Linked DNA regions of Lonchura striata. The protein of the gene in region 2 interacts with the protein of the main gene of each other region in a biochemical or structural test. Links are inferred from orthologs where the notes say so. Each region holds a gene or a part of one and is shown on either strand. Other genes may lie near its edges.

What was found.
Region 1: the proteins of LYN (region 2) and FASLG form a complex in vitro, tested with the Homo sapiens proteins (2 studies listed by BioGRID, with this or other methods). The link is inferred for Lonchura striata from reciprocal best matches to the Homo sapiens genes LYN and FASLG.

The regions. Positions count from the first base shown.
Region 1 is NC_134611.1:357,727-368,556, forward strand, and holds FASLG (tumor necrosis factor ligand superfamily member 6), read right to left. Parts: upstream 4,029-10,830; 5' UTR 3,977-4,028; coding exon 3,623-3,976; intron 3,296-3,622; coding exon 3,250-3,295; intron 3,167-3,249; coding exon 3,138-3,166; intron 2,336-3,137; coding exon 2,311-2,335; intron 1,573-2,310; coding exon 1,178-1,572; downstream 1-1,177. UniProt on the Homo sapiens protein: Cytokine that binds to TNFRSF6/FAS, a receptor that transduces the apoptotic signal into cells. Involved in cytotoxic T-cell-mediated apoptosis, natural killer cell-mediated apoptosis and in T-cell development.
Region 2 is NC_134603.1:39,097,459-39,107,562, reverse strand, and holds the start of LYN (tyrosine-protein kinase Lyn), read left to right. Parts: upstream 1-5,645; 5' UTR 5,646-5,743; intron 5,744-5,943; exon of another isoform or gene 5,944-6,033; intron 6,034-6,194; exon of another isoform or gene 6,195-6,320; intron 6,321-10,104. UniProt on the Homo sapiens protein: Non-receptor tyrosine-protein kinase that transmits signals from cell surface receptors and plays an important role in the regulation of innate and adaptive immune responses, hematopoiesis, responses to growth factors and cytokines, integrin signaling, but also responses to DNA damage and genotoxic agents.

The sequences.
Region 1 (10,830 bases), on a different chromosome or scaffold from region 2:
ATGGGTTCGGGCTGCCTGCTCTGTGCTGCCCACACCACACCTTCCCAGCCCCAGATCCTGCTGTTTCAGTGCTGGAGCTCCAAAGCCTCATGGAAAGGGCCTTGTGCAGTGCCAAGTGGGCAGCAAAGAGGGATGAGGCTCCCAGATTTCTGCCACGCTGCTGGAGAAGGAATGAGGCACTGACCCCTGATCACAGAGGCTTTGCAGTGCTTTGGCCATGGCCCAGCCTGTTGCACCAAATGAGGAGAGGACCACTCACTAGAAAAATATATATTTACTATCTGTGTTTTTCTCAGGAGGGAATATCTCATGGCAAGGACCCAGCCAAAGACAGGTGCCAGCATGTCACCAGCTGCATCAGGAAAGGGCTGGCAGACCAGGCCTCCATGGAGAACCCTCCTGTGCTGAAAGGGCAGCAGGGGGGCTCGAGATGCTGCTTCCACCTCAAGCCCCACTGCCCTGCGCTGCTGTGTTGCTTAGATTGCACCAGCAGAGCCCGTGGCCACCCCACCATCCCCACCACCATGGGGTGGTCACGCTGCCACCTCTGGGACATCCCTCAGGGCACTGCTGCTGCTGGCATGTTCCTTGCAAGGCAGCTGGGATGAGTTAAATAAAGTGGTTGGGGAGCATTTTCTGGGTTGGGAACGGTCCATAGCTTAACACCAAATGAACACAGCACCTATCCCAGCCCAGACAGCAGGAGCTGCCTGTGGTACAGCAGTCCCACAGTGCTGGGCAGCGCCTGCCATGGCTCAAGGGGAGCAGTTGTTCACACTGCTCATCCCCACACCACTGTCTGTGGTGTCGTGGCACGACCCAGACACCTCCATAACACCCCCCAGCTGTCCCCACCAGGGCTGTGACACCACGGGGAGCAGCAGATCCCACCATCTTCTCAGGCAGTAGTGAGTTCCAGCAGGGTCTTCTGCACGCCACTTTCTGAGTTTGTTGGGGTTTTTGTAAGGAGAATATGTGCAATTCTCTTCAGGCTGATGCAGCACAGCCTGGTGCTTTCCAGGTGTCCGCTTTCAAGCCTTTCCCAGTTGCTTGGATCCCCTCGTGCTGAAGCCCAAACACGGTTTCTGGCTGGGTTTTGTGGTGCCCAGGCAGGACTCAGCCCTCACACATCCGTGTGGGTGTGGGTGTGTGAAGGGGCTGCCAGCCACGCTCCCTTTCAAAGCTTAAACAAACCAAAGAAAGTCTTGGATTCCTCAAAGTTCACCAGGGCGATTTTGGAGACGTTGACGTGCAAGCTGTCCATCTTCCTGAGCTTGAAGAGAGCCCCCAGGTAGCTGTTGCGGGCCCACATCCTCTGGTCCTTGCAGAAGTTGGTGGCTTTGTCCTCCATGAGCACGAGGCTGCCCGGGGAGGCCGGGTTCCTCTTGTACACCACGTGGGACAGGAGGTGGCTGTCACAGGCGCTGCCGCGGAACAGCACCTGCGAGTACACGAAGTAGAGCCCCGCCTCGCTGACCAGCAGCCCCCGGTCCCGGTACTGGATGCCGCTGGTGTAGGCATGGCCAGAGGTGGGCTCCCACTCCAGGGGCAGGTCCCGCTGGGCTGGGTTGCCTGGAAGCCAAAACGAGACCCAACAAAATGGTGGGAAGCACATTGGGTCGGGTGGTTTTTGCTCAGGTCGCACCCCACGTCACGAGGCAGCCGTTCTCCAAGCCTTGTCTGCAGTGTGGGAAGTCCTCCCAGGCCTCACCCCTCACCAGTGCCAGCTCCAGTGCCACCTCCTGCCCTGCACACCCCAAAAACCAAGCCAGAGCCAGGTTTTGCTGAGAAGCATAAGTGAGGGGGAGGGTTCTGTCTGAGGAGCAAATTTCCACTGTCAGAGCAGACATGTCACCCAAGGAGGACAGCAAAGCCTCTGTGGGGTGGGCTCCTCATAACGCCAGCCATGGCACCCCTGAGCCCATCCCAGCTGCCATGGGACCCTCTCTGAGCCCATCCCACTGCCATGGACCCCTGAGCCCATCCCAGCTGCCATGGCACCCCCTGAGCCCATCCCAGCTGCCATGGACCCCTGACCCCATCCCAGCTGCCATGGGACCCCTGACCCCATTCCAGCTGCCATGGCACCATCAGAGGCCATCCCGGCTGCCATGGGACCCTCCCTGAGCCCATCCCACTGCCATGGACCCCTGAGCCCATCCCAGCTGCCATTGCACCCCCTGAGCCCATCCCAGCTGCCATGGACCCCTGAGCCCATCCCAGCTGCCATGGCACCATCAGAGGCCATCCCGGCTGCCATGGCACCCCTGAGCCCATCCCACTGCCCAGCCCTGCTCCCCCAGCACGTACCTGTTACATGGGCTGCCCTCCTCACCTCCTTCCCCTGCCCTGCACAAAGATAGAAAAGACATTGGCCACAAGCTCCACGGAGGAGTCAGCCCAGAGAGCAGGGGGCACCTGAGACCCTGCAAAGCCTCCATCCCACTGCCAGGCGGGGAGTGGAGCTGCCCTCAGGAAGGGAGAGCACAGCTGGGAAAGCTCTGCCTGCCCTGCAGGCCTGAGTTCCCTTTGGAGAGATGGGCCCATTCCAGTGACTCTGTATTTGGAGCCCATCCCACTCCATCCCTTCACTTCTCCTCAACATCTACTTCATCTTCTCTAATTTCAGAAGCAGCCTTTTCTTTTCAGAAGCCAATTAAATTTTCCTCTCCGCTCCCCCTTCTCCTTTACACTATTTCCCTTTATCCAGCTGCCTCAAGAAATTCAGGTTTATTATTTATGTTCAGTCTCTGCTAAAGAAGCCTGTGATCAGAGCACTGGGCATTGCAGTTCAAATGAGAGCTCACCTTCCCCTAAAGAGGAAAATTTATTGGCATAGGAGTTGATAAGAACCAGGACTTCCCTTTCCCAAGAATTTTGCTATTTCAGGGTTTTTTTTATTCAGTATCAGAACAAATTTGAAAATAAATTTTCTAATTAATAAAATTCTCAAGGGGGAAAAGATGAAAACTTTTCAGATCTAGAAAAAGCTGTCTAGAGGACTGAATATCTCTTTCTGACTTGGTCATTTTTGAAAAGGATATCCTCACTTATAACATTAACATGGAATGCAAAAGAAAAGCAATAGTTTGGAAGTTCAAACCACAATTCTTAAATTGTTCCAGCCAAATTGAAACCTCTCTTTTTTTTTTTTTTTTTTTTTTCCCTAAATGAAATCTAGAAGAATTGGCAGGTTCTTGTGGAAAGTTTCAATTTCACTGAGGGTTCCTCCTGCAGGCACGGACTCACCTGTGAGTTTCTGAGAGACTGGAGGGATGTGCTCAGCGCTGGCAGACTGGCAAGAGAGAAGAGGGACAATGGCTTAGACTGAGAGCATGAGCAGCTGGGGACTGCCTTGGACAGTGGCTCAGTCTGGTGTTTTGGCTCCACGGGGAGCTGCAAAGTGCTAAGAAATACACGGGGAGAGAGCTGGCAGCGCTCGGGAGCACAGAGATGTGCTGATAAATCAGTCACCAACCGAGCAGTCCCTCACGGGAACAAGCAGACAGAGAAATGCCACCGAAATGCCCCCATCCTGCCCCTTGGGAACATCTCAGCCCCGTTCCAAGAGTTCCTTTTCCCCGTTTCCCCAGGGACCTGCTCCCAGCCAGGCAGACCTCACCTCTCGGAGTTCATCCACCTCCTTCTCCAGGTGAAAAATCTTAAATATGCTCAGCCCCACTCCGGTGAAGGCCACCAGGATCAGCAAGAACATGACGAGGAAGCCGACACTTCTCCTTTCCCGGTCGCTGCGTGGCTTTGTGCTCCGGTCGGGGACGGGCGGCGGGAAGGGAGCGGCGGGGGCAGCCCCAGCATCGGCACAGCCGTCCACCCAGAAGATCTGCGGGTAATAATTGAGGTTCTGCTGCACGGGCGGCAGCGGCACGGGCCGGACCTGCCTGCCGGGCTCGTCCTTGCGGCGCCCGAGCCCCGCCGGGCCAGCCCCGGGGGCGGCTCTGCCCTGGTACGGCTGCATCCGTGCGGCTGCGAGGGATGCTGCGACTCCGAAAGCCTCGCAGCATCGGCAGCAAAGCCCCTTCCGGCCCGGCTGGGGCTCGGGAGCCACCCTCCTCCCACAGCCCCGCTCCGACAGCCGCAGCCGCTCCCCAAAAGCGCCCGGGCCGCTGCCTCCGCACTCCCGACCGCCGGCGGGTCCGGCCGGCCGCAGGAACGGCAAAGCCTCCGGACCCCGCACCGCACGGGAGGCACGGAGCCGGGGAGCCCCCGGGGCCGGGGATGCGGAGCGGGGGAGCCCCCGGGGCCGGGGATGCGGAGCCGAGCCCGGGGGATGCGGAGCCGAGCCCGGGGGATGCGGGGGTCGCTCCGTTCCTGGCGGCCAGCCCGCAGCTCCGCAGCGCACGGAGCTCTCAAAGCCTCGGAGGGCAGGAAGGCAGGCGGGCAGAGCTGCCCCAGCGGGAGCAGAGCCAGCTCCGCGGCTGCCCTCTCACCTTCCGAGGAAAAATAGAGAGTCCGGACCATGCCGAAAGGAGCAGCACTTTCAAGAGCTCGTTACAATACCCTAATGAAAAGAGACAGGGACATATCCATTTCTCGATTTCCATTCCTCATGTACTGCAGATTTCTAAGTGGGGACAGTGAGATTTCCCCACAGATTTACAGGTGCACACAAGCAATTAGGGACACTTTTCCTTGCACTTTACAGACCCCTGTTGAAGTGTGTATTTTTATGGGGTAGTGTTCAAAAAAAGGAAATGATTAATACAAGAGCAAACCAGAGATTAATTTCTCCTGTGGCTGAAGGAAGCAATCACAATACACAGACTTTGATCTTGAACATCAAAACTGGGATCTGTAAAAGGCACATTCAAACCTTTGTACACTTGTTTCTCTGAAGCAAGGGCTCAGCTTTGCCTGCAACCACACCAATAAATCAGATGTGCTGACAATGTCTTGCACCACCAGACACCCCACTGCTTTTTGGAGATATTCACCAGCCTTTTGCTTCAGCAGCCATCCACATTACAGGTTTCAACAACTCCATCTAGCTCTTCCTCACACTTCAGGGTTTAAGAGACACAAGAGCAGAAGAAATCCAACCCTAACAAGTTCAAGCTTGGTTGTGCCTAGCCTGGCTCAGTCCCCCTGTCTCTGTCCCAGAACAGCCACCCAAGTCCCCATCCCCTCCCACAGCCATTACAAGAGAGGGTCACACTATGGCTTTGCCTGGAGAGGATCCATTCCACATTTTTCTGACACTGTGTTAATGCCAACAGCTTGTTGAGGTGGGACTGAGGAGAGAGTAGCAGTTTCCCTTAAATGTCACTAGTATTCTTACTCCACACCCACTGCTTCCCGCTTTCACAAAGATGTTTTTTAAAGGGAGGGTGAGAGGGAGAGACAAGGAAACCAACTGAAGCAATTTCAGCTGCACCTTCTTTTTTGGATGCCCAGATGAAGAGCCCAAGATCCTGCTAACACCCCATGTGGTGGCAAACCAAAGGTTGGGGCTGTTTTACCATCAAAAATGCTTAGTGCACAAAATGCTTTCAGGGACCTCTCCCTCTGCTGGCCCTGCTGTCACTCTCCGTTTTCCTGCCACCCCCTTCAGACACCACAAGATGCCAGACACTGACTGGGAGGTGGTGCCAGGCAGGGCTGTGTCTGCAGAGCACATCAGAATCCCAGAGCCACAGGATGGCTGGGGGTGGAAGGGACCTCTGGAAATCCTCTAGTCCAAAAAAGAAAGCAGGTTGTGGTGCCTGCAGGCTCTGTGTTCTGCTGGCTTCAATGCTCAAATGACACAGGATATGAACAGGACCACTGAAATAATGGCAGGACAATTTGCTGTAGGTGGGCACTTCAGGCACGTGAATTTTGCTAGAAGGCCTAGAGCCAGAATTTAGACAAGGCTGAGGCCATCCTAACAAGGACAGCTGGGCAGGAAAACAGGGCATAAAGGAGGACAAAAGGGGTGTCAGATTTGCCTCCACCACCCTATCCCCCTCTTGAACCTGTCTGTACACCCTGTTTCCAGCAGCCCTGTTACATCACTTGAACATGAAGGAATATTTTCCAATGGAAGCACCTTCCATAGCCCTCACCAGAAATTGTTCCCCTTTACCAAACCAACAAAAACATTACACAGACTGCAAAAGAGGATTTGCTCAGAAGAACACTCTCCTTCCCCAATTCACCCGCAGAGGAGAGGTGGGAACTCTTATTAACAAGACACACAATTATGTTAAAGTTGATGGCAGAGAATCAGCCAGCAGCTAAGAGTTTGTATCAGCAGAATTTAGGGACCTGCCTGAAACAGCCCGAAGAAAGCAGGACTTGAACAATGATCCAGATCTAATACTTGACAGAAAATAAACCCTGAAACTCAAAACAAAAACTGAAGTGTGAACCTCTGTGTAGGAGAGGCTCTCACTGTGTTTTGGACAGTCTCTCTGGAAGCAATTAACAACTATTTCCTATTACACTAATGACTAGTGGAAATGGTAAAAAGCAGCTCTTGAAAGCCGCAGGAAGTGCACCCAAGAGCAACTGGGAAAGTTGAGAATCATTCACATTCAAAAACACAGGATTCAACATCATTAGGACAGAGAATTGAATCAGAAGAAAACAAGGCAAGGAACAAAGACTGAAGATCAAGCTCTTTGGGTAGAAAACAATGTGCTAGAAAGAAAACAAGTCTGAAGCTGAGAGGCACCTCAGCTGGACATGAGCTTCCAGCAGGGAAAGCCCACAGGGAAAGCTCCCGTGAGAGCTCACACACAGCTCTGGACAGCACAGACACTCCTGGAATCACTTCACAAGTCTTTGTTCAACTCCAGAGAGGCTCTGGAAGAAGTTGCAGGAACTGTTGGACAGAAAGGAGGTTCAAATTTGTCTGTTCAAGAGCAGATTGGCCGGGAGGGATGGACAGCGTGTGGAAAACCTGTAAAGAGAGGGATGATTTCCAGCTCTTAAATCTCACAGGATAAAAAAGCTTCCCAAGGAGCCACGAGTTGTGAGCCAAATCTGAAGGAGTTTGAACGAAAAGATGGATTTTTGACTGAACACTGGTATGAATGCTTGTGAGAGCTGCCTTCAAAGGGAGTGGGCCTCCATCTGCTGAAGCCTCAGAGGGGTGTGGAAGATAGCAGAACTCACCCAGCCTTTGCAGTTAGCACCAACATCTTCATGTTGTTTTCTTTATTCTGTGTTTATTAACAGTTTGGTTTCTCAAACACAGGTGATGCTCTTCATTTCCTCAACAACTGCTCTCCTTGCAAGGAGCATTTGTTGCACATATAAGCCATGACAAGGACATTCAGATATTCACACACAAGAACAGGTTTTCAAGTCCACTGATAACAGCTCTGCCCTGGCATTACAGTGCTTAACGCATCCCTCTTCCAGTGAGCAAGGTGCTCTGTCCCCTCCTTCACCCTGATTCCAACAAGCAGCCAGCAGCCCTGGATTCAGCAAGACAGGGTGAGAGAAAACACATGGGCCCGAAGCAGATGAGAACAAGAGGAGTACCTAAAATATTACTCTGCTGCTTTCATTTCTTCTGTGCTTGTGGTGAGAGCAGGGAAATGAGGTATAGTGGTTATGAGGTCAGGGGATCTATTCTGAGAAACAGCAGCAGGGTCATTCCATGGTGCCACAGGGCAAAACAGAACAAGGTGCTGTGGCCAGCTGTGAGGAAGACCAAGAGAAGTGCAGGTGTTGAGTCCCTGTCCCCGCAGCTGAAGGGAGGACAGACATTGCCAAGGGTCTCATTCCCAAGCCCTTCTGCAGGGTCTGTGCCCTGCCCCAGCCTCTGGGCACAAAGCCAGCCCCAGCCCTGGCAAACAGCAGCTGGCTCTGCTGGCCAGGGGGGCTTGCCTGGTGCTTGACAGGTTTATTTCTTCTTGGGAGCAGCCAGCCTCAGCCCATTCAAACAAAACGGTAACTGTGGCATTACAACTCACAGAAGCTGCTTCCAGTTATTTTTCTGGGAAAAGAGAAGCAGCAGACAGGGGCTGCTGTTTGCTGCGAGCTCACAGAGGGCACCGCAGCTGGACGGAGGCTCCAACCACATCTAACAGGGCAGAAAAACTGGCCCCAAGGTGGCAAACGTTTCTGTTCCATCTCTAGGTCCACGAGGGGCAGAGCTCAGCTCCTCTGCATCGCCTCCCAAAAGCTGCCCTGCTGCGTGGGAGCTCCTGGTGACTCAGTGGAAAGCAGCAGAGCAAGGGCCAGCCCCTGTTCAGGACCAGAGAGCAGCAAGGCAGCAGGAGCCTCCTTGGAAGCTTCTTCCAAATCCATTCTGCTTAAATTGGAGAAGGGCTGTCAAGGTGAGTGAGCTTCCGCACTGAGCTGTCACCTGTGGGAAGAGGCCCTGGAGCTGTCACCAAGCCCAGCAGCAGCTGCTGTTGGACACTCAGGGTTTCCAGGAGATGAGACACCCCACAGCACCCCGTGGGCAGGGCTCTCCACTTCTCTGTTCCAAATGAAGTGGAACATTTTTGTACCTCACAAAGCAAAACCTGCTAAGCTGTTCCACCTCGTGCTGTAACTTGGCAAAAGCAGAAGCCACACACCACCTCAGATCTGAGTTTTCTGCTTACATCACCACACAGGCTGGTAGGGTCTGCATCTTCAAGAAAGCCTGGATTTCCACTGATATTGAATGTATATGAACACCTTACTTTGGCAAACACAGCAATGCACTTACACCAGGTGTGTTTGCACCCATCCACCCTCACATGGAAACCTTCACAGGACCTGCCCAAGGACTGAGGGACACCATCCTCACTCCAGCACACACTTTGCTTTTAGGTGTTTTACACCAACAGCTGTCCAACCTTTGCTTGCAATAATGAGACAGTCACACAGGAATTTCTGATGTATAAACTGTCTTCATTAGAAATTATTATTTCTACATAAAGTTAATAACCAATTTAAGAGACTTGATTCCATAGAACCAAATTTTGAAAGCAAGATTGCATGACATTATTAAAACTGAAAGTAAAAAATTACTCAAGAGCCCACATGAAAGGAAAACATTAGGCAATCTCTTACCTGATGGTAATTTTTTTAAAGGAAGTTAAAAGATTACTAAAAGCAGCGTGGCAGTAGCAGGTGGAATCTGTGGTTCAATCTCCAATTTCTTACCAGAACACACTCTCAAGTCTGCAAAACCATAATTGGGCCAGTAGGTTCCTTCGGATGCTTTATTTCCATGGCACACTGCCCACGTGTTCATTACAGGACAAGCTTTATCACTGGTACCTTTCCACAGAATGCATCAATTCCTTAGACCTAAGTCAGGCCCAGTATAGAGGGAGCAGGGTATTAAGGGACCAGATTAGAATTACATTTGGTTTTACATCTGCAATTGTCAACTTGGAAATCTGAATATGTGATTGGGATTTCAACATGCAGTCCCATTTATCAGCACAGGATAGAGCTGGGAGTTCTCTAGTTCATAGCCAGTGTCTGCTTTAAGAAGGGCTGTTTAAGAATTCGGTCATGTCCAGCTTCAGGTAATTCCTACTGAAAACCCCTGGGCAATAAAGGTATACACACTTCTAACAAGTGACATAACAAGAGGAAGGAGTAAATAAAAGAAACCCACACTTCCCCACCCCCCAAAACACCCTGCACACTCCTCCCTCAGCAAACTCCACATTCAATTATATTTTTAAATCCTAGTTCTGTGATGAAGCAGAGTCCTGAGACACTCAAGTGAAAACTCAGTGCTGGGGAGGTCTCCTCTGACAAGCAGATGCTGGCCAGCCTGTGAATCTGGCATTTGGCTGCACAAATCCTGCTGGGCTTGACAGAAATAAGTCAGGGGGGAGGGACCAATAAGGGGCAAACTTCAAGCTGAAAACTCTGGTTTGAGATAATACTCTGGTTTGAGATAATGACTCTCTTTCCTTTCAGGGCCTCCTGTACCCTTCATAAGCCTTAGCTCTGAGTAGCAAGAAGTCATTTCATGCAGTTCTTCTCACAGTGTACCACCATGTGCAGGGATGCCCCAGGACAAGGTGTGAACTGACTGCTGGAAACCTCTCCAGCAGTTTCACAGGCCCACAATTCCTGACCTTTCAGACAAAGCACCACTCAGCCCTCAGAATCCACTCCCCCACACTTTTCTTTATTTAAACAGAAAAACATATGTAGGCCGACAAGTTTATGAACTCCTTACTATGCCCAAAAGATCCCATGTCCTAGTCCTGGGCTGAAAATTTAAGACTAGTCCTTTGCAAAGAATGTAAGCCACAAGTTTGATTCTCAAAGGAAAAAATGCCAGTAAATGAAAGACAAAGTGTTCAGATTTATTTGGAAATTCACAGTTTCTAATGGCACTACAGTTCTGTAGTCACATACTCTTGCTCCACAACATTGGATGCTGCACTCTGGTGGTATGAATTTTCTTCATCCAAATCTGACATCCTTCTGAATTCATGTTCAACATGTCTGGTTCACGTGCTCTGACTGGCTAATTGTGCAGATCAACTCTGAAAGTACATCACTTTAAAGTACTCATAAACTAACAAGAAAGCAGCAAAAAAACAAGGCTTTAAATAAGTCACATTACATACAATACCTAGGAAAGGCATCAGATCTGTTAAAAAAGGTACCACTAAAAGTGCTCAATAAATTAACTTATTTTGTACAATGTGAACCTGTAACACCTGTCAAAAGGAATAACCTTTTGTTCCACTCACTCAGAACCACACTCAACAGTTCAACAACCACACATCCTATAGTATCCAAGTACACAGTCACAGTCAAAATAAAAAACATTTGAGTATGAAATACCAGCCATACCAACACTGCACATTTGTTAGCCAATACAAAAGCAAACGTTATGGAAACACCTGCTGT
Region 2 (10,104 bases):
GCAATGGGATTACCTGCCCACTGCTACTGCAGCTGTTCAAGGGCAGCCTGAGCACTGCGCTGCCCTTGCACGGCAGCAGTGCTAACAATGGGCCAGTGCCTTTCCACGGGGAAATTTTCTGTAGCAAGTAGCTGATCCTGGAAAAGGAAAGCTACTCTTCAACAACAGCCCACTGTGAAAAAGCCTCCAGAAACAATATGTTGCTTCTGAACTGGCAATTTCTGTGGTGCAGGACCTGCAAGACACAGGCTGAATGCTTGTCCAGGCTGGCAATAGGAGGTGCAATGCCCTGAATATAAGGCAGAAACAAAACAAGCAAACAAAAATATCCCCACTGTGTGATCTTGCTAATTTGAAATGATCACACATACCTGTTCCTGGATTAGCTCAAATCTGTTCTTTCAGGCAATTCAATATTAGTGATCACAGAACTGTGTACTAAATTAAGCATTAATTAAACACATTCTTTATTAGTGTGGGCAGTCTCTTCAGATTAATAAGGATATCTGTAAATGGCCACAAATGTTTAAAAGAGGAAGACTCTTGGAGTCACTAGTTGTCAGCTCAACCTTCTCATTGCCTACCCAAATGAATTGTGAAGAACACATCAGTCCAGCTGCTTTTCTTGCCTCTGTAGGATGATATTCTTGAGAACCACAACAACCTTTTATTTGAGCAGTCATTTCTACAGAAAGGCAATTGGGATATTCTGTAGTGCACATAGGCCAGTTTCAACTTCCATCAGAATACTCAGGATGCTGTCCCACCAACACAACCTAGTTCAATGCAGATGGTTGTCAAACTGGCTTCCAGTGTTGGGCCTGCTTTTATTCCCTAAATAGCAATTTTTCCACTCACAGCCATTAAACAAGTGGAAACAAAATGGGAAATATGTCTATGTATAAAACCACATAATGGCAGGTGAATAAAATATTTAAATCAGCAAAGATGCAGAAGAAGCAGCTTTTACTAACTTTCAGAATTAGAGGATCTCAAGCCAAGAGGATCTCAAGCCAAGTATCTGCTGTATTATTATGAGTTGTTCATGGAAACTGGAAGTAACAAGATGAAATAAAAAAGGCTGAATTCAGGATTTATGGCCAGAAAATATCAGTGTAATAAAATGCAAGTGGCTGTGCTTTAGGCAGATCACTGTCTACAGGAAAGATGCCAGCTTTCCCAGCTTTAGCCTAGTTAGTATGTGTATTGTTAGTCTGAACAACAAGTCAAATGAATGTTGAGTCAAAGTTTATAAGGATTTGTGCATTATTCCCCAAAATGTTTTTAATATTTTCTAAAATTTTAATCACAAAATTAGTCAAGATTGTAAATTATTGTGTGATATATTTCAAATAATCATAATGGAACTACATTTAAAACTAAGATTTTGGTTTTTTGTTTGAATTTCTCTTTAGTGTCACAAAACTTAATTTTCCCAGGCTCCAAACTGGAAATAAGAGCAGAAACTGATAAATATCCACATATAAGGTCCATTAACTTGTTATCTCATACTTGATAATAAAATTTATTTTCTATTTTTTTTTTTAACAAACAAAAGCAACCCATCATTAGGACATGAAGGGCATATTTAGAATAAAATTTATACATATTCTACTTATAGGTCAACATTACTTTCTTTAAAATAGTAGGTTACAATAAGAAAGGAAATTATTAAAAAAAATAATGCTAAAGAATATACTGCTTTTATTTTCTCCAGTAACTCTGAGTGAAGAATGACTGCATGACTTGTATCTCATTTTTTTTAAATCCACTCTTTATTACTTGCTAAAAATTTGCTACATTATTATAAAGCATTTTGACAGTATGCAATTTACTTAATGATAATGTCTTGAGATAAAATTATGAGAGAAACAGTACAAGTAGTGACTGTGTAAGTGCTGGAATTTCTAAAGAAAAGACATTTTACTGTGTCTGCTGTGACTCCAAAACTCTGGCTCATACAAAACAGCCAGATGTCTAAATGTTTCAGCTTTACATGTGTCCATGCTCTATCTTTCCTTCCTCTTTTATAAAGAACTTAAATTCTTACAAATCTATTTTTGAACAAAGTGATATTTCCTCTGTTTTTTCTTTAATTGAGTGAACTCAAGTATTCCTTGGGATCTCCCACTAATTATTTCCCTGGTTATGCCATTTATGCTTTACTGTCTATTTTTTAGTCTTCTATTAATGCTCTGCTTTTGTATTCAAGCATACCGCAGAAAGAACTCAGCAACAATGAGATTAAGGAATATATAAAATGTAGAGAGAAGTTTGTTGCCTGTTTTCATTGTCCATGACAAAGTTTAGTTTACTGCCCAGAGTCACTGTTCCCTGCAGCTTGTGCCTCTTCATGCCCCCAGACACAATCCAAATAGGGATCAGCACAGGTATGTAGAGGGATTGGTGTGAACCCTACAAGGCTCATTAAATCACTGCCCAACCAAATATCATTGGACATTCCTCTGAGTCTACTGACAAATTGCTCGACTCTTCCCTGGCCCAGACCACTTACCACTCTCAAAAAATATTCCAGAGCTGATCTGAAAGTTAACGTGGTGCTGTGGTTTAGCTTCAGCTGGCAACTGAGCACCAGGCAGCTGCTCACTCAGTGCTGCTTTCCCAATGGGGTAGGGAGGAGACCTGGAAAAAGGTAAAAACTCAGGGGTTGGGATAAGAACAGTTTAATAATTGAAACAAAGTAAAAAAGAATAGTAGTAGTAGTAGAAGTAGCACTACTACTACTACTAATAATAATAATAGTAATGAAAAGGAGAGTGAGGGGGGGGGGGGAATAAAACCCAAGAGAAACCAAGTGTTTTCCAACAGAGTTTCTCACCACCCACTACTCGGTGCCCAGCCCACCCCCAAAATATGACCAGCTCCCTCCTGGCCAACTTCCCCAGTATATAATAATATATATGATATATTTAAATATGACAGGATATGGAATATGACAGGTATGGAACATCCCTTTAGCCAGTTCAGGTCAGCGCCATCCTGGTTTCTGGTGTACCTGCTCACTGTCACAGTATGGAAAACTAAAAAGGCTTTGACTTAGTGAAAGCATAAACAACTAAACTACAGTGTGTTACCAACATTATTCTCATACTAAATCCAAAACACTGCACTGCACCAGCTAATAAGAAGAAACTGAGCTCTATCCCAGCAGAAACCAGGACACATGGGCCATTCTGGGGTCGTCCCCATGTTCTGGATGCCAACAGCATGGACGTGGACCCCTACATTGCCAGCTGGCCTTCATATTGGATCACAGCCTTGCAGCCATGCTTAAATCAGCAGTAGAGACATTGTCTGGGAGTCAGATCTTTCCAAAGTGGGAAATCAATTGCTGGGCTTGAACTGGCTGGCTAATGTGACTCACAGTCCTTCCTGCAAGGACTTCCCCTTCAGTGACAGGCTTGAGGTTTCATTCTTGCCCCATTTTACACCATCCCCCAACTCTCTTGATCTATGCACATGTACATTTAAAATGTGATGAACAGCTGACCTACTGTAGATGTAGTGAGGCTGGAATCAGCTTTTTTTTCCCTTTTGATGAATATATAATGAGAGACTTCCTTTCCTGCTTACACTTTCTAAAGTAGATTTTGTATATATTTGTAACAGTGGGAACAATGATACATAAACCCATGACATTTCAAGGGATACTAACAACCTGTCTTTTTAAAAAAAGTATAAAGCACAGTGTATTTATTCTACTCTAACACTTCTTCATATTAGTTCCTTTAGGGCAAACCTGATGAGTTTGTTCTGTCTCACAATTTACTATTGCACAGCAATCTATTAAAGGTAATTCAGCACGTCTTTTATTTTTCCAGATTATTTACATTATAGATAGGATTGCATTCTACTTGACTGCTGGAATCTATTATGCATTTATGAAACTAAATTTTATTTTCACCAATGCTTTGTTAGGAGAAGGGAATATTAAACTCAGCAGAATACTTGATAATGAAATGAAGATATAAAGAGGAAAGGAGGGCGAGCAAGACAGATGTGGGATTTGTGCACTACTTCTCCAAGAAGAAAGTTACAAGATCAAAATGCTTGTCCTATAGAGGAAAATGGAAACATGAGGCACTAACTGTGCACTTCAGAAATAGCTCATTTTACATAAACTTTTGGAATCCAAATTTCCTACCAAAAAGAAATCCCCAAACCCAAGACAATGTATATTTAGTCAGATCTTTCATTTTTACATAAAGTTTTCATTGGGAAAAAGGTTGTTGTCTGGTCTGTTCATTTTATTGTTGTTTTTTCTTATTGTTATTGTTATTATGAAATATCTTTACCTAAGTTGGGGCAGGGGAGAAAACATTTACCAATTTTTTACTTAAAAATTGGTAAATGTTTTCTCCCCTCCTTGAGGAATTCCTTATTGTCTCACCCTACAATACTTTTAGAGGTTGGTCTAATGCTGAGTATTTCCACATTATTTTAAACATTGATGATAAAATTCAAAGAAGACCAGAAACTATTGCCCACTACTTTTCAGAGCTCTAGAGATGCCCAGGGACATCTGGGACTGATTAAGAAATGTGACAAACTATGGTCTCACTGCTTCTATGGACTGAGTCTTCTAGAGGATCAAGGCAGACACCTGTGTGCTGGAGCCAGGGTATCAGACGGGACTGCAGCAAACACCAACCAGTGTGCAGTGATTGTGCCAGCTGCACATCACCAGGAGTGCCAGGCCTTTACATCAGCACCAAAGATCTATAAGTTAATTGACATGAATCGGGTTCTCCTCATGAACCCAACAGGGTGTGACCCGCACTGAGCTATTTTCAGCTATTTGGGTGTCCTGTTAGAAGTCCTCACCAGTTCCTGAGTCCACTCCAACCCACAGTTAGGCTGTGCTGGTGGACTTTGGGAATGTGTACAGAGGTGCCTTTGAGTGTCTTGCATCTTGTAACACTTTGACTCTTTCTCAAACTCGATCCATTATCTAAACACTTCTATATGGAAAGCTTAAATGCTTTTCATTTGAAATTCTGCCTTGGAAATCTCCATGACCTGAACTCGCCCATGTGGCTTGGCAGTACACACATGACACTTGACTCTAGTTATTGTAAAGCTTTTCACCTGCATCCTCTGGCTGTTATGTCCATGCATTCATATTTCCTGTTTTCCTGACCTGTGAGATTTTTATTTCACTTTTCACCAGGCTAGTAAATCATTCTTGAAATAAAATGAAACATTGAAAGATAAGCTTACTTGTTTTGTTTCTCTCAACCAAGCCTCCAATTGACCTTAGAAGCTACTTAGAGTGGATTTGTGGAGTTCAAATGGTTTTTTGGCTGTTGGTGGAACAAGAGAGCTTTTTTTTTGCCTATCAGACTAACAGAGTTTTATTTTGCTGTAACTTTCCGAGGCTCATGATGGCTCGCTCCCCTCTGAGGCAGCTCGGCGGGGCGGACCCCCGACACTCCGCCGCAGCCCCTGCCCCACCTCGTCCCCGGCACAGCCTCCAGCCGGAGGAGCCGCAGCCGCCGGGCCGGGGCCGGCCCCCGCTCTGCCGCTCGCCCGCTGTCCACCACATGCAAACGCTGCCCGGCAGCAGGAAGTACCCGGGCTGCGAGCCTCCCGCGGCCGCGCCCCGCCCGCGCCGCGACAGCCGCGCTCCGGCCCCGCCGCTGGCGCCCGGGACAGCCCGCTCCGCGCCCCGCTCCGCGCCCCGCGCTTCGCTCGCTGCCGCGCAGCTTGCGCACCCGGCAAAGTAAGTGCCTTCCCCCGGGAAAGTAAGTAAGTGCCTTCCCCCGGGACAGTGAGTGCCTTCCCCCGGGACAGTGAGTGCCTTCCCCCGGGACAGTGAGTGCCTTCCCCCGGGAGCGGCGGTGCCCAGCGCCCCGCTTCTCCCGCGGGGCTGCCCGGCCGCGCTGCCCCGCGCCCCCGCCCCGCCCCGCCCCGGCGCGGAGCGGAGCGGAGCGGCGGGACCAGGCGCTTGCCGGGCGGCTCTCCCTCGCTTCTGCCCCCGCAAGGAGGTGCCGCTGCCTCTCGACCTGCCCGGTAGGACTGGATGGGGTCTTAAGGGAAATAACCGCGTTTGGGATAAAATAATCGTTCTCAAAAGCATGATTTATCTCATACTCCTTTGCCTGGCTTCTGCTGTGATCCGGAGGGCTCGGGTGCCTTCTGGCTGTTTCGTGCCGGGGAGCGTGTGAAATTACCCGGTTTAAGTCCGCAGTCGGCGTTTCGAGCCAAAACGATAGCCTTGACTGAGGTGAGGTGATGTGATCTCTGGGTATCCCTTCTTACGCTGCTTTTTTTCGAGGAGCATAATTTATCGTGCATTCTGCAAGTTAAAGCTTCTTCTTCTTAAGTGTCTATTCAAATGTGCTTGGAATTAAAAGATGAGGAAATGGTGTTGTGATGCTTGGTGTGCAGTGTTTCTTGCAGACTGCTATTATAGGTACTGTATTCCTAAGGAACAGTCTTGAAGTGTTTTCTCCTTACAATTTTAGTTTAGGAGGTGATGCTGTACCTTCAGTAAAGCAGTTAAGAGTTTCTGTTAAATTACATCTTTCAAGTGTTTGCAGTGAATGAGTTGGCACAAACTCATCTTGCTGCCTTGCTCCCCTCTGTTGGCAATAAAGACCAAAGGGATTAACGCTTAAAACTTATTTAGCCAGGTCATATTCCCGCGGATATACATAGGAAGAACAAAGCTAAGCTTTATCTGAAACCTCTAGTCAATATCCCATCTTCTGCCTTTCGTTCCCACCTTTGAAGAAAGAGAAACACTCTGGACAATCTTAATGTATTTTAGGACATCACAGTACAAATTGAAAATTAAAATTTTTAATCTGGATCCCATCAAGTACCTGTATGACTTTTGCAATTTAGGAATAGTAATGTTAATTGAAAGTATCTGTGAAGTACAAGTGCCACGTGGATAAGTCTGCACTCAACACAGTATCACTATAGAGTTAAAACAAAAAGCAGAAGATACGTGTTGAGAAATTGCAAAGCTATGTTGGGAAAACATAGCTCAATTTTACCAAAAGGAGAGTCAAATTGTGTTTGTGTCGATAGTTTCCAACCCAACACTGAGGACAGAATAGGTGTTATCTTTTTAATACAGACTATCAACAGCATTGAAAGTATGGATGAGAAAAAAATCAAATCGTTTTCTCTGAAAAAGTAGCAACAGGCTAGAAATCAGTTAGATACTGTTAAAAGGATGTTATGAAGCCTTAGAGAAGGGTTGAAATTAATGAACTGTGAGATCAAAAGATGTCTTGTTTTATGGATCTCTTCTGAGATTTAAAGCTTTTTCCTTTCTCTGTTTCAACTTTGTGAGATACAGACTAGTTAGGAAAGAATTCTTTACTTAATAACATAAAAATCTGTTTTAATTGTGTGCTGTTCTGATAGATTTTTTTTTTAACCATGATGACATAGAATGATTATCCTTGTACAGTAGCTGGCTCACTTCAAGTTATTCAGCTTTTCTCCATTTTTGAGTAAATAAGAGGTTTTTCTTACAGAAATGTACAGAAGACATGGTAAGGTTTAGGCCTTCCTTTTTAAGCCCCTTGACCCTTGAGTTGTGCAATGACTCTGACAAAGCAATCAATTGTGAAACTTTACAATGCAAAGTTAAACCCTGTTGCCTTTAAGTTGTTCAATACTATGGGGTTTAATGTTACCCTTTTCAAGAGAGTTTCCATAAATGTGAAACTATTCCTTGCAGGTGATTATGAACAGGTATTTATGAATGTACAAGTAACTATTTCATAGTACTTTCCCCCCGCCCAGTTTATCTGTGTAATTGAAGTGACCTCTCTTCCTATGGCATTTTTGACTCCTATAAGCTAAATGGCATCACAGAGCAGCAGGTGTTGAGGGAAACAATTCCTGTGACAGGCAATGGAAACAAGTCCAAGGTCTCCTGGCTCAGCTTAGTTCTGTTCTTCAGTGAGTTGTCTCACCAAATCAGAGATGCTACACCTGGCCCTTCTTGTGGGGCACGTCAGGGAGCATCATTGGCCTCTCTGTAGTTATTTGGGAAAGTTTAAGTGATGCCATATTTAATCTCAGATGTGATTCCATTGCTGTCACAAAAAGGAGATGTTTGCCTACCTCTACTCTGAATGTTATTTTGAATCTTAATAGGAATCTTTGAGATTTTGGGATGAACACATGTTGATCAGAAGGCAATTTTATTTTGTTCAAAGGGCTAGGTGATCTGGGAAGGGGATGAGATCTTTCCTCCTTTCCATATGTGCATATCCTGAGTAACTGAGTGACAGTTTTTTCTTCTGTCTAAGGAGTTGTAAAACCATTTTTACTCTTGGGGTTCAGGGAGCCCTTTTCAAAACTGAGTGAACCCCGAAGATAAGTTCATGGGGAATAACTAACTAACTAACTTACCTAACTAATTAATGGGGTGGGCATTAGGTATAACCTAGGATTCCTGGCAATCTGCTGTACACAGAGGGGGATGTCTCATGGCACAGAGATCTCAGAAGAATATGAGCCATCATGTGCTAATGCAAGGGATGGGAGGAGAATCTGTCAGCTGGGGATCCTGAGAGTTCTGTGAGCTTTATATGCAGGGAACGATACTTCCTTTCAAAGCTATGGAGCCAAGTGTGTAAGTAATTACACCAAACCATGTGATCTGTTAAGCAGCATTTGTTATAATATTGCCTCTGTAGGATTTCCGTCTCTAAGCAAAAAGGCTTCATTCTATAGAAAAAACAGTTTCCCAGCTGAGAATTAGGATTTTTGTCCTGTTGTTCATATTCCTACTTCCTATTTCTCCCATTTATTTCTCTCCCTTCTTTAATGAGAGTATAGGAATGCTAGAGATGGTGTAATAAGAAAAGCTTCCAGACTTGCTAAGCCATGCCACAGGAAACTGTAGATAAAAATGTAAAATTACATTTGTATGAAAACAGTCTTTAATGACGCATGCAGGGTGAAGGAGTCTGCCACCCTGTAAGCAATAATGGTGCCTTCTCAAATAAATTAGCCTGTACTAATAAAAGACAAATGCAATGTCACTGTCCTCAGTGTGACTGTTCCTAGTTTAAACTTCATTGTCCTTCAGGGAAGGATGGAAAGGTCTGTGCCTTCATATTTATTTTTGCCTGATTCAGATACATTTCCTGTTGACATTGTCATTAAATGCTGTAATTTCCGAGACTGAATTATTCACGTTTGAGTTCAGCATCTTTCCTGAAAAATGTGGGTTCATGGAACAAAACACGAACGCAGAACTCATCATGTGCTGGAAGCATTTCCTCCAAATATTTATGGGATACTTGTATTTGCTTTGTGCCTTAAAAAACTACTCATAGAGGTAAATAGATCAGTTACTTTTGTCAGGCAAATGTCAGAAGAGAAATGGTATTTTGACAGTAACACTTTGCTGGAGAGAAAATAAAGGAGGACACTGGGGGAAGGTGGAGGAAATAATGGGTAGATCTCATTTCTCTGGTGGGTTAGAAGAGTGGACTAGTTCTGTCCAGGCCAGCCTTTGGTCTCCCTTAAGTCAGCATTGCCTATTTTTTTCAAACTGCTGGCATCTTATGTATCTACAATTGGTTCCTGTGTTTGCACAGCACACTTGTCTTACGTCTTCAGTTCAAAGGACTCCAATGATAAACAGTCTCAACAAAGTGAACTTCTTCCTCTATGGTCTCTGCTGCATGTGGCAGAAGGTTTCTTCTTCCTGTGGTTGACATATTATAGAATTTCTTGCTTTAATTTGCAAAGGCCAGCTGTGATAGGAAATAGTGCAATCGTAAACTGGAACACATAATAGTTCTCCAAAAGTGTTGAAGTATGGGATGCAGCTACTCTTCTGCAATAGCACTTCTTGCAGGTTTCTCTATTATTGGGGGTCACTCTAAGCATGGAAATGATAAAATTTTGAAAGGAAAGGACTCCCTCTGGGATGTGCTTTTAACTTCTCCTTTGTTGGTTTAAAAAAAGAAGTTTCAGGAAGTTGGTCAAAAAAAGCATAATCTGTTAAGTGGGCTTTCTGATGTGGTATCTACAATCTATTGCTTTTTTCATGTTTCCTTCCTTAGTTTGTATACATAGGTGTATACAAACCTGTTTAATTTT